2 linked regions of the Drosophila melanogaster genome follow. The protein of the gene in region 1 purifies or fractionates together with the protein of each later gene. This does not show direct contact. Each region holds a gene or a part of one and is shown on either strand. Other genes may lie near its edges.

What was found. Proteins that work in one complex are often made in the same cells at the same time.
Region 2: the proteins of rictor (region 1) and Sin1 purify together in Drosophila melanogaster (affinity purification with mass spectrometry; 2 studies listed by BioGRID). This does not show direct contact.

What each region holds. Positions count from the first base shown.
Region 1 is NC_004354.4:19,255,435-19,262,840, reverse strand, and holds the start of rictor (rapamycin-insensitive companion of Tor), read left to right. Parts: upstream 1-1,600; 5' UTR 1,601-1,790; coding exon 1,791-1,854; intron 1,855-2,997; exon of another isoform or gene 2,998-3,096; coding exon of another isoform or gene 3,097-3,124; intron 3,125-3,194; coding exon 3,195-3,405; intron 3,406-3,468; coding exon 3,469-4,014; intron 4,015-4,474; coding exon 4,475-4,628; intron 4,629-4,686; coding exon 4,687-5,550; intron 5,551-5,617; coding exon 5,618-5,794; intron 5,795-5,857; coding exon 5,858-6,066; intron 6,067-6,234; coding exon 6,235-7,023; intron 7,024-7,125; coding exon 7,126-7,250; intron 7,251-7,319; coding exon 7,320-7,406. Other genes in the region: Vav guanine nucleotide exchange factor, read right to left, coding at 248-502.
Region 2 is NT_033778.4:14,408,571-14,414,351, forward strand, and holds Sin1 (SAPK-interacting protein 1), read left to right. Parts: upstream 1-3,254; 5' UTR 3,255-3,336; coding exon 3,337-5,046; 3' UTR 5,047-5,281; downstream 5,282-5,781. Other genes in the region: CG17385 (uncharacterized protein), read right to left, coding at 1,641-1,848, 2,155-2,714, 2,773-2,841. UniProt on the Drosophila melanogaster protein: Component of the target of rapamycin complex 2 (TORC2), which transduces signals from growth factors to pathways involved in proliferation, cytoskeletal organization and anabolic output.

The sequences.
Region 1 (7,406 bases):
TATTATTTATTTATTCACACATGCAAATTCGTGCATAAATTTGGCATATTCTATTTCTTTATGAATTTATGATGTTTTGGCCAATTATTGTCACTAATTGTAAGTGATGTTTGTTTTAATGATTTAAATTATTTTTACAGATATACTTCCCCCTATTTCTCTCAGTGTTGCTTGTTTACAAGGTTTAGAGTGTGCCACCCATTCACAATTTGCCAGCAAAGTCACTTGCTTCTCGCATTTCACTCACCTGTGCCATTTGCGGCTTGCGATTGAACTCGCGCGGATCCAAGCTGCTGGGGTCCAGGTGGATGACCAGGTTGCAGAGCAGCACGCCGTCGCGCAGCGTCATCGCCAGGATGCGGATCTCGGCGTCCGGCTGGGCGGCCTTGTGGTCGGGCGGAATGACCTTGCACCTGGTCAGCCAGGCGACGCACTCGCGCCACAGATCCCCGTTCACGCCGGCCACGCCCCCAAAACTGTTGCTGCTACTGCTGCTGGCCATCTCGCAGTGGTTGGGTTGGGTATTACTATATGGATTGGGATTTGGTTTTCGTTTCGGATTTGGAGGAGGGGTTGCGGGTGGGGCGCTGGCGTTGGCGGTGATGGTGTGAAGTGGGGCGCGGGCCCAACTGGCAAGTGTTGGAGGGGGGAGGAGGAGGGTGGGTGGGTGCTACTCGCGTCGCGTTAATGGACACAATTGAGACTCATCAGTTGGCCGTTGCGATTGGATTGGTGAACCCGAGCACAGATACACAGAGCAAAAACGGAAGGCAATGAAGAGCACAACACTAGCCAACACCACACACAACAAAAACAACGATTTCGGGACAATTCGAGCGTAGTGGGGTGTATCGCGTTCGCGAAGGGCTCACCCTGTGCACCGGATACGCGCGAACAGTGCTTGCGGCTGCCGAGTTGCTCAGAAAGTGCTCGCCACTGTGGTTTTAAAACTAATTTACTTTATTGCAAAATATTGCGTTTATCGAAGAGGAAGAGCATACTCGACTTCGATAACAGTCTGGGCGGCCGTGTAACCGCTTGCGGCTCCTTCGAAAATACCAACTGCATGTGTGGTATTTACGATATGTTAATAGCATTGTTACTTTGTGACGAAAATTAATTGTGCACCTCGGTATGCTTTAATATAACAAGTTGATGTAAATTAGTAAGTAGAGTAAATACACATGACATATATTGACTCCAAAAAAAAAGTCACCAAATAATCTTGCAGAAGAATATTAAGTAAATTTTCCCTTACAGTATTTGTTTTAATTTCGTAATTTATAATCATATAAAATAGTTCTACGATAAGGAGAATTCCTATCTGGGGGTAATTCAGCTGTCCTCGAATTTCTCAGGTAATATTTTGAATATTTCCGTTCAATTTTTATAATTAGTGCACAAGAAATTCATTATATTACAGACACTAGCCTTTCAGAGGAAGTAAGCAAGCAAAATTGTATGTCAAATGTAAATGTAAGATGTAAGTGTAAAATGAAATGTTTTTCATTGAAAGTCGCGTAAATATTCCAAATTCTCGTGCCCGCGGTGGCGCTTCGTAGTTGGTTTTTTCTCCTGCGCCGACGACGGTCACTTTAAAGCGGCGAGCAATAAAAAAAATGTAAATTGTGCAGCAAGTGAAATTGAAAAGCAATATATTTAAGTGTGATCTGTGTGTTGTGGTGTGTGGGTGTGTGTTCGACATACAGCTAATAGGCGAGCGGGCGACGGCGCCGCACCCGCCTCGCCACGCCCCCATCGGCGAATCGAAAAAGAGGCGAAGCAACGCGATGGCCTCCCAACATTCCAGTTGGCGTTTTGGCAAGCGGAGCAAATTACAATTACGCATCAAAGGTAATGTAACGAATGTGCTAATTGACATCAAACACGGCGACGGTGGCATCGGCATAATGGCGCAATCACTCCGTTCGACGTTTTGTCTCACATGGCTCGCCCCACCGACCCCCGCCATTCCATTCAGTTTGCATTATTTTGCATTACGGCGAGGCATAAGCATTACAGCAGCAGCTGTTGTTGTTGTTGTTGTTGTTGTGGATCTTGAGCCGACCTCATCCCCAACCCCACCTACCCCTCCAGCAGCCTTCTGTTTATTGGACTTGGCCAATAATTGGTAGCAAAGGGTTCTTTTTTTTGTTGACATTGATGGCAACTAGCAACAACAATAATATGTTGTTGAGGGGGGCGGGAATGAGCACACTGGCAGCATTGCCCATAACGGTAACGATGTAGCAGCGATGCAACAGTGATGTACGCATGTATCGACAGCATGGCATTCTGATCAACATTTCTCCTGATCTCCTCAGTGTTTCCTCCGTTATTTATACATTTGTTGTTGTTCTCGTTTCTATTTTCTATTTAGTTTTTATTTTTATTTATGTATTTTTTGGTTTTATTTTGGTTACTTTTGTTGTTGTTGCTGTTGCCATTTGACCAAATTCTTCGACTACATGTTGGCCGATTATTTATAGAACGGTCGCCACAGCATAGAGAGAGCCCCCAAAAACGATGACGCAGCACAAGCAACAACATAGACATTCACTAAACATCGACCATAACAATAACAGCGATAGCAACAGCAGAAACAACAACAATAACAACAGCCACTACTAGAACTACAAAAACAATAACATACGAAATGCTCAGCTTGGTTTCTTCCATTCATCGTGTCCTTCACTCTTTCGTTCTTCTTCGCTCGTCATGCTCTCTCCTTTCTCTCTCTCTCTCTCTCTGTCGCTCTCCCCCTTTTCCAACCAAATCCATCATGCAAGTACAGTTAGCTGTAACGACGACAACTGCAACAACAACGAAACTGTTATGACGCTGTGTTGTTGTCATTTCACGTGCACAGCCTGCGTCAGCGTCGGCAGAGACAGAGGCAGCGGCTGAGCTGATTAGCTTTCCACGATCCACGATCAATTTCACTTTGATGGCTTTCTAATGCAAGTCGCTGTGTGCATGCATGTGTGCACCTCCTCTTGACCGTAAAAACCCCATGTACTATGATGATTTGAACATGTGCATATCCGAAAAAGCTATTACTTGCAAATAATATTTATGTAATATTCAAGTACATCGATGTGGCCATATTATTCATTCATAAAAGGTTGTTTTAATTAGTAATTAGTGTGTACGGATCTGATAAGAAAAGCAATGAAACTTTTCCTCCATTACAGTTTCGCAGGATCCGGAGGACTTCTACCGCCTGGATCCACAGCGATCGGCCGCCGAAAATGCATTCGAAATATACTCGATGCTCTGTTTGGAGGAGACGCGGGACACGAAGCGCCTGTTTCTGCTCAACGCGCTGGCCTCGCTCTGTTTGGGGGCCCGAAAGGGCTCCCACCACAGCAATATACGCTTCACCACCGAGGAGCTGCTCTACTGGTAAGATGCCCGTTGGGGAAACCATTGTTCTTAACATGGCTAATTGATCGCCCTTAATTGCAGCCTTAGTGCCTCACTGGTGCACACCTTCACCCAAGTGCGAGCGGCGGCACTGCGAACGATCCGGTATGCCATTAGCACGCCCAATGACATCAAGACGTTCAATGCACTGCAGCTGCAGCACCTGCTCTGCCGCTCCATCGATCTAATGCTGAAGAACGACGACGAGCGCGTCCAGGCACTGAAGCTGGTCCGCAAGATGCTGGCCATCGCGCCGGAGGACATCAGTCCGGCGGTGGTGCGCTGCCTGGTCTCGCTGGCGGATAGCGGCATCGAGGAGAACGACAATCTGTTGCGTGCCTGCCTGGCCACCCTGGCAGAGTTCGCTGTGCTCAATCCGGCGCTGCTGATCGTCTGCGGCGGCGTCACCTCCATAACCCGCAATGTGCTAGAGTGCCACAATCCCCGCATCGCTGAGAGCCTGTGCGGCGTGCTTCTGTACCTGCTCGAGTGGCCGCAAACGAGGAACATCTGCGGTGTGCGGCTGGACTGCCTGGCAGCTCCTTATTGCGATTTCACCTACCGGCAGAGTATCGTCGATAAGAACAAGTGAGTGCCCTAGTGAAGATCCCACCAATCCCTCCTTGAATACTGCAGCTTGGCTGCAGAATACTACAAATGGGTTACCCAAAACAAAAAGCAGTTTATCAAGCCAGATGTAAGACGGATCCACTTCACTCATTAATTCGCCGAAAGTAATTTAATGTAGAGTAATTATATCTGCTGTTGAATTGTAACCAAATAATCGATGAACATCACGCCGTCTTTTGAGATTATCAAACAGCGGATGCAAACATGAAATTCTAAAATAGATAACTAAAGGCAGCACGGCCATTGACCTCGTTTCATGCTCTAAATGAGTAGTTAAATCGGGCGAAACACTTTTGGAAAATCGAACAAGACTATCCCACAAACATCTACTGAAGTTTTTTCACAAGATGTACTACTACAAGTTGTAGATAAGCGCTATCAGTTACATCATTCTTTTATAAATAAAACTATCTTTCAGGGATGCGCGCGAACTTCGCTACACCAGCTGTCGGCTGGCACTGCTGTCTGTGCTGCGCAGCTGGACGGGCACCCTCGAATTCTGTGATCCTAGCAAACCCTCAGGCCTGAAAGCAATAGTCGACGCTCTGTATTTGAACCAGATCGAAGTCAGAGTGAGTACATTCCCCTCTTAGTATCGATCTGAACTTACTGAACATGCAATTTGAACAGAAAGCAATATTGGATTTGCTGTACGAGCTGCTCACGCTGCCGCAGCCAACCTGGACGGATGACTATGCGGTGGCGTTGCAGGCTGTGGATCCGTCGGACTTCCAGGACACGTGGCTGCTGAGCAATGGTTTCGTGTCCGCCGAAGGGCGCTCCATTTTGCCAACGCTGGCGGCGCGTGCACCGAGCGTAGTAGAGCAGCACCTGGCGCTGATGCTGTACTGTTTCCTCGAGACTGGACTGCTCAATGCGCTCGTCGAGGTTGTGGTGAGCAGCGATCAGTTCGTCTCGGTACAGGCTACGGTGCTGATTGGCAAGATCCTGCAGCTAATGCACACCCACCTGCCCCCGGATATTTGCTGTACGAGTCCGGCACTGCCCACGCTGGTGAGTCATGCCACATTGGGGAACCAGCAGGCCAATGCAGCGGTGGCCGCTCTGCAAAACTACCAGAAGTTGCTGCGCCAGCGGCCGGCGTCGCGCAGCTTATTCCTAGACAGCATTATCCAGGGCGGTGCTCTCATCCAGACGCGACTGTTTCGTCGGCACCTCAACGTGCAGGAGCAAGCGGGTCCTGTGCTACAGTTGCAGGAAACGGCGGAGGCGGCGGCATTTGCGGTACCGCCTGTCACTCAGTTTCGCGGCACCCTCGATCGTTCTCGGCTGGATTCTGTCTCCTCCAGCGACGAGTCCAACTCACAGGCTTCGACCTCGTCGAGGTCCAGTTTTCGACTGAAGCGTAAGTTCCTTCCGCAAGCCTTATATGATAACTTCCGAGCCTTCAATCGGCTGCTGACAGACTCCCGTGTGCTGAGCCAAGCGGACGCGCATCTTTGGGACTGGGATGTTATTACCACCATACTGAAGGTAAACTAAATCAGAAAATATTATGGTATCTCCAGTTTATAAACGATTCTCATCTTAACATTTGCAGTCGAATTTAATCCGCAAACTGGACTACACCCAAGGAAAGTTCCTGAAGCGACTCGTGGACTTCTACAAGCCGCGCAATAATCGGTTCTCTCACCAGGATTTGGTGCCTGGACAGAGGCTGCCTACATATGTCAGTGCCGGATTGGATTTAATTGACGTCCTCCTGTCCAGCAATGAGGTAGATTCTCTTAATGATGGCCTAATTAGTGAAAATAGCCTAAAGTTACTCGTTAATTTGCAGCTTGAATGTATGCGCTTTATAACCGACTACTTTTCGGACATCAGCCAACAGCTGGCGGCCGTCACCACATCGAATCGTGCACACGACTGTCTATTTAGTCCACAGCATATGAATAACACGATGTGTCAGCAGTATTTCCTCTACATCGGACGCATGTGCCGAACCGTAAAAGGCATCGAAGTACTCAAAAATACCACCGTATTTGAATAGTGAGTGCTGAGTGATATGTACATAATTTGACTTAAATCTTGTCAAATTAGGTTAAAGAATCTAAAGATGTTAGACCAAAACGAATCGACTAATCGGAAGGGGTTAACTCATTCAATATTAACTAAACCTAGTAAGACCTTCGCTAATCGAGATTTCCTTAATTTCAGCTTGATCAATTTGGTGCGGGTGACGGACCACGTCTGCTATGTGAAGCTAATTGTGTCCGGCCTGAACTACAGCTACGAGAAGCTACCACGTCAGGTGCTGGAAAAGGCGCTTACGTCGGCGAAGACACGCGGACGTCTGTACTCCACCCAGTTCATGGCAGTGCTGCTGCGTGCCCGTCTGCCTCACTTTGAGGTATGGGGCATTCCATTGATTATCAACCAGACGCGGGATTCGGACCGTAGCGTGGGGCTGGCAGCCATGGATGTACTGGAGGAGGCCTGCCACGACAAGTACTACCTGGAGGAGATTGTCAGTCGGTGGCCCAATCTAACGCATCGTGGTGATGCAGGACGGCTGCTGATGGCCCGCTATTATTCACTGCCCCGCGGCCTGAACAGTACGATGGCACGAATCGAGGATGAGATCCGCTACTGGCGGAATGGGTACAACAAGCGCTACGTGCTCCTCGTGGAAGCCGACACCCACTCAAGCCTGACGCTGCACATCCGCAATGAGGATGGCTACTACTCGCGTCGCAATTGCAACCAGAGACCACAGACTGTACCACCAAACGTTGCACCTCATCTGTACGGGCAAATGGCACAGACTGGCCAGGGTATGACAGCTCTGCGGAAGCACGGAGACCTGCCGCAGCTATTGGAACTGCTCAGACGCGCCAAATGCACGGACGATGCCGAGTGCCTTGAACTGAAGGCCGCCATTTGGGCACTGGCCCACGCCTCAACCCACTCCAATGGAATTGAATACTTTGTCGAACTGAATGCCAGGTAAGTCACATACATATCACATAACTTCGAATCGTGTCCCACGAATTTGAAAGAGTATACACAAAAGATGCAAGATGTTACAAAGTTATTTATTGTTTGTAGACTATACGAGAAGCTTATTGTTCTGGTGACCAAATGCGAGGTATATTCGGTGAGGGCCACCTGTTTTAGTGCCTTAGGTCTTATCGCAGGCACACAGGCAGGTGCCAATATCCTTTTTAAGTTGAGTAAGTGTCCCATCACAAATGTGTTTGAAAAACTGATTGTGTCCTAATTGAAAAATGCATGTTTTGCAGACTGGCTGAGCGTGCGACATGACAAGAACACAATGTGGCCCGTGCATCAGCCGGAGGATTGGATGTCCAGCCAGTACACACCGGTGC
Region 2 (5,781 bases), on another chromosome or scaffold:
AGGAAATAAGGGAACCGAGGACTCATTAACCGTGGCTGACGTCATAACTGCCACGCCCCCAAATGTTTGAGCACACTGTGATTCGACGGTGATTATTTGCATGCTGTGCACTGCCGAGCAAACAATTGGCCAACACAAAAAAAAAAGGGCGGCAAGTGTTGGCCGGGAAACGGAGCGTTATTGCCACACAATCTCAGCGTGCAAATATTTGAACTGTATAAAAAAGCGCACACACACAAAATTAAATTCCCCAAACGGCGACCTAAAAAGGGGCGGGGCAGAACAAGCTATTGATTTCATTGAAAACACAACCCCTAAATCTGCAGCAAGGATTTTTTACAATAGAAACTGAAACGGAATCGCGGTTTTACATATTTCTGTTTAAGAAGAGATATATATGTACTTTGTTACTAAGTTCAAAAAGGATAATGCTTACACAAAAAATTAAATAATCAATTAAGGAATAGTTTTCAAATTTAAACAGAATACGCTGCATTCCCCTACTATTTAAATAAATTTAATTAAATTAACTTATCAACTCCGATGAGATCAGCATCCTATAAATTAGCTGCAGTTTCTTGCCATCTTCACATGACTGCTTAAACTTATGAGCTGAGATCAGGAGCAGGACATTTACCATAATAAATTTATAACAAATGACATTGGGCAGCTTAATAAATGTGAACCTATTAGTCCGAGGCCCCAAGCAGTGACCATTTAAGCAGCCGCATGCCAATTGAACCAGGCGCACACATGCACAGCCAGAAAATGTGGCAGGACGACGATGTGGACATGAAATATTATTTCCCTGTGCGAGCGGAAGTGTGAGTAGTCCGGGGAGTCAGATGTATAAATAGTTTGATTTAGTGCCGCAAAAACGATGACTGCGAAGGCCACAAGGACATGGTCAGAGCGAGCGGTGGATGCTGATAGCAAGGACTGTGCGATCAATTATTGCTCCATGACTGCTGGCGGGTAAACAAGTCAGGAACGTGCCTTTAATTAGTTTCAATCAAATAGTCGAGAAATCACATGTATAAATTATAGACCCATCGGGCGATTCCTTTACCTTTCTTCTTCGAACTTAACGAACAACAGTGAGTGGTAACGTGACTATTTGGGCAAACATATTTGTCACATTAATGACGCAAGAATGTTGGCCTGACAAGCTGGAAAAGGGACAGTTTTACGGCTGTGCGAAATGTGTCATTAAAGCGACAATTTACGCACTGTGAGGTTTTGGGACTTGCGAACGAGAGAATTGATGATGTGACTCGGGAAAATCCAGCGAATATCATACATATGCTCATAAAATGGCACATCATAAAGGGTGCAGTTAAAACGTCTTTAGGGTCCGTAAATCGACGGGTTAGCCTGATTCACGCAACAATGTCAACAGAGATCGGATCGATTAGCAACAGGGATAGCGAAGGATTCGCATTGGTTATCTGCATATTTATTGCATTTATTGGTGTAATTCAATGGAGAACTATGTTGGCCTGCATATATATTCATATCTGTATATTCAATGCAATATTCTTCACATTCCATCTTTCCGTCGGAATCGCCGCTATTTGTATGTTTAGGTGTGAGTTGGGTTGTGTGTTTTCGTGGTATTTCATTTAAAATTATTGCCATTTCTAATGTGTAGTCTCAATTATGATTTCGTGCGTATCCAGATCGGGCACGGCAAACTTCATGGGCAAATAGTCGTCTGGATGCATGTGGGACATCTGGTTAACCTCCAGCTGGGCCCTTTCGTGGTCCTCATGGCACTTGGCTTCGTGCTTCTCATAGTCAGCGAAGGTATCAAAGATGGCCCGACACACCATGCATTCGAAAAAGCTTCTGAAAATGAAATGTTTTAATTCAATAATAAAATTCACAACAAGCAAATGTAGAAGGATCAAGGATAGTTTTGAGGCTAGTCAATTAATATATAAAAGTATTGATTGGGAACGTGTACACCTTCAAAAATGCATATAGTATTAATTGTTCATAAAAGGGAAATGAGCACAGTTAAGCACACTAATCAGCACCGAATCTAATCATGACCCGTCGATAATCGGTGTCGAATAGGCAACTTAAGGTAGGTCTGAACAGGTTGAACTAATCAAAGGGCACCTTGATCTTCTACAGCCGGCAAGTACTCACGGTTTCTGCTCCGACTCAAGCCGTTCCCTGGCCAGGGCGGCAGCCGCCTGGATAGAGGCGGGCACGTCCACATCGACGCCCTCCTTTATGTGCGACTGCAAGTGGCGCTTAAAGTTTGACAGCTGGGTGAAGCCCTTCTCGCAGTAATTACACTGGTAGGGCTTGGCGTTGAGGTGGCCAAGCTTGTGTTTCTTGAGGTTAACCAGCTGGGAGAAGTACCTGCCGCATCGCTGGCAGCGGAACGGCTTCTCGCCAGTGTGTGTCATCTTGTGGCGCTTCATGTTGCTCTGCTGGGTGAAGGACTTGTTGCAGAAGTTACAGGTGAATGGCCGCTCCCCGCTGTGCACCGCATAGTGGCGCTGCAGGTTCACAGCCTGGGCGAAGGCCTTCGAGCAAATGTTACACACGAAAGGCCGCACATCGTTGTGCACCTTCATGTGACGATCCAGGTTCCCCGAATTGCAGAAGCTCTTCGCGCACAGCTTGCACTCGTAGGTGGTCTTGTTGTGGTTGTGCACCTCTTGTCGATGCAACGTCTGATCCCGCTTGCTTCTGAAGGTCTGCATCAATGGATAGTGGTTAGATTGAGGTAATAGGAGACATTTCCCACACACTTACTCGGTCGCAGCGCTTGCAGCTGAACTGATTGGCCACCGTCTCGTCGAATTCTACCTCCATGCCCGCCATTTCGCCGTTGGCTAGCACATCGACTCTATCCGATTGGGAGTTCTCAAGAAGTGGACATCGAAAAACGGCAGGTCAGGCGACGATAAACTCACTATAATTAACTTATTCTGTAACTCGGCAATTTTTCGCGTCCAGAAAAAAGTCATATGGTGGCCTAGAGTGACCGTTTGCGTTGAATGAAAAAAGACCAGATTTAACGAGTACCGCTACAACTAGACTTGCATGTAAATTCAAAATATTACTTTGATAATAAGTACTTGGTATAACCTTTATCTTAATTGCATAATTTAAGTATATTCATGTAGTAGGTATTCCTCTTATGTTCTGTTGGGAACGGTGACTTGTGCGTGCTATTCGTTACCACCACCAAAAAGTGACCAGTAACAACCGCAATGTTCCATCTCTAGATAATCCAAAGGCGTTAGTGCATTTTTCCGAGATGCTGAGATAAATAGAAATTAATTTTGAAAAAGAGATTTTCTTTTGTTTACTACCATGGCGACCTACTCCAACCAGCATTGGCTGCTCTCCCACATCCGCAACTCCTTCATATCCACGGACGACACCGGAATGTGCGAGACGGTGATGCTGAGCGATGACATGCCCAAACACTATTTGCGAAAATTCGGTAACTCGGGCGCTGGAGGAGATCACTATCATTGGCGACGGGCGCACAAGACACCGCCGACGGGGGGCGGGACAACACCGGAGCGGAACACCCGGCATCCGGATGCGCCACTCCAGGAAGTGGACTTCATCTGCTATCCGGGACTGGACCTCAGCGACGACGAGGAGGACATGTCCACGCACTCCTTTGACATCCAAATGTATCCGGAGGTGGGCGCCCACCGCTTTCGCTCCAACACTGCCCAAAAACTAGAGAAACTGGATATTGCCAAGCGAAGGGCGGCGCGCATCAAGAGTGTTAACTACCAGGAGGAAGTGCAGCCACCGGAGAGCGATGATTTCTTTAAACGCAAAGAGTTGCCCCTCAGCAAAGCTGAGCGAGTTAAAAATGAACCGAAAGCCAACGACGATGATCTGTCAGATGAGGGTGTTCAGAGCCAGCTCACTGAACAGTTGGCCAAAAGTCCAAAGCAAGCACAGAATCGCTTCATTGAATTCGCCCGCTTCGATGGCACCTCCCAAGTGGGTATGCAAACGAAACGGATAAACGTGTTTTTAAATATGCTTCCCGAGCCGGATCGCAACTACCCGTTGAAGATCTGCGTCGTAGCCACTGCCAAAATCCAGGAGGTAATTGGTTTTGTCTGCTACAGGACCTCCTTACAATATCCCGACGTTCCTTTGAAGTCCCTGCAGCATTACGCTTTGTATATGACAGAGGATAATGATGATATGGAAGACTTCCCACCGTTGGACAATCGCGAACCCTGCTCTAAGTTTGGCTTCTCCCAACTGACCCTCGCAGAGCGTCGGCCATTGGCTCCAGTGACGCGAGTTGATTACCACAGCCAGCTGGGCAGTAAATCCATGACTTCCGTGGAAGACAAGACAGCTCTGTCCGATGCGGCTGTCAAGGCTCTGCAAAATATTAGCCTAAATGGAGGAACTAGTGATCCGGGTGGAGGAGGTGGAGGAGGCGATAGTCCACACGATAATGTCAAGGAGTATGAGAAGCGATTGTTGAATCACAACGATATGCTGGAAGCACCCATGCATCGTACTTTCCGCCTCAACATCATCGACAAGAGGTTCTTCAAATCCGATGTGACTCTGGGAATATCTGGTGAGAGAATAGAGATCGATCAGTGCAAGAATGCCAAGTTCTGGCCGCAGAAGAAGCCCGTATCCACTCCCATTGACTTTGTTGCTCACTGCGAGATTTTGGAGCGACGCCACCTGAAGGCTCTGTTGCGCATCTGGCTGAAGTCAAACTCCTCGTCCCCTTCCTTCTCCACGGGCTGCACTTCGGCGCCGATCAACGCCAGCGTAACCACACTGAATGCGGGAAGCGGCAGTGGTGGGATTGCCCACTCGCCCAGCAGTCCGGGTCACTCTTCCGGACTCTTTTCAAGCAGCAATATTCGCTTTAAGCACTACGACTTCGATACGGACACCCACACGGCGGAGCAGATCCACAACAAGCTGAACTGCATACTAGAGATGCGATCCAGCGATCTGAGGCGCGAGTTCCTTTTGCAGCGCGATCGGAAGCAGGAGAAGAGGCAGCTGAAGTTGTAGTATTTATTCCTATGGCAGCGGCTGTCGCTCGTTTGCCTAGCAGGCGGGCAACTGTCACTGCCGCTGCAACGTCCCCGCCTACTTCTCCGCCTCCGCCTCCGCCTCCTGTTCGATAAGTTGTATTAGTTGCTAACTAAAGATTGTGTTACACATGTTTGCCTAGCCTGTAAGTATTTATTGAACTCACCCAACTACGAAGCCTGGTCCTGAAAATAAAATTGCAAAATTTACACTTAAAATCGGTAATCTCTACATTTTTGCTTCCGCCTTGCCGCTGGCGTTTACATTGCGGTTTTGAAGCGATTCACGCGCGATTTGGCCGCGTTTTTAGCAGTATATCTGGTTTTCATTTCCGTTTTTCTCACTCTACCCACTGCAATTGTCTGTAATCAATGTGCAATTAATCGCACAGACAACCAGACGGGGACGGATCCAACGGTTAGTCGTATTACTGCACATATTGTTTTCGGTCTGGCTGTTTATTTTTAGTTTTGCAATGCCAGCGATGACTGGGTTGGGCGCCTAGGTCGCCTGCTAACAGCTGTGGAGTAGTCGAGAATAATGGCTAACTGCCGTTAGACGATCGTTGCATGCATATGCATCTGCAGCGTCGGCTAACCAAGCGATTGCAGCAGCGCGTTCTAAGGCCAAGGTTAGTGACTCGAAATCACGCCAAAATGCGCGACATTTGAGGCCGTTCGTCTGATGGCGATGATGATGCTGTTGGCGTGACCA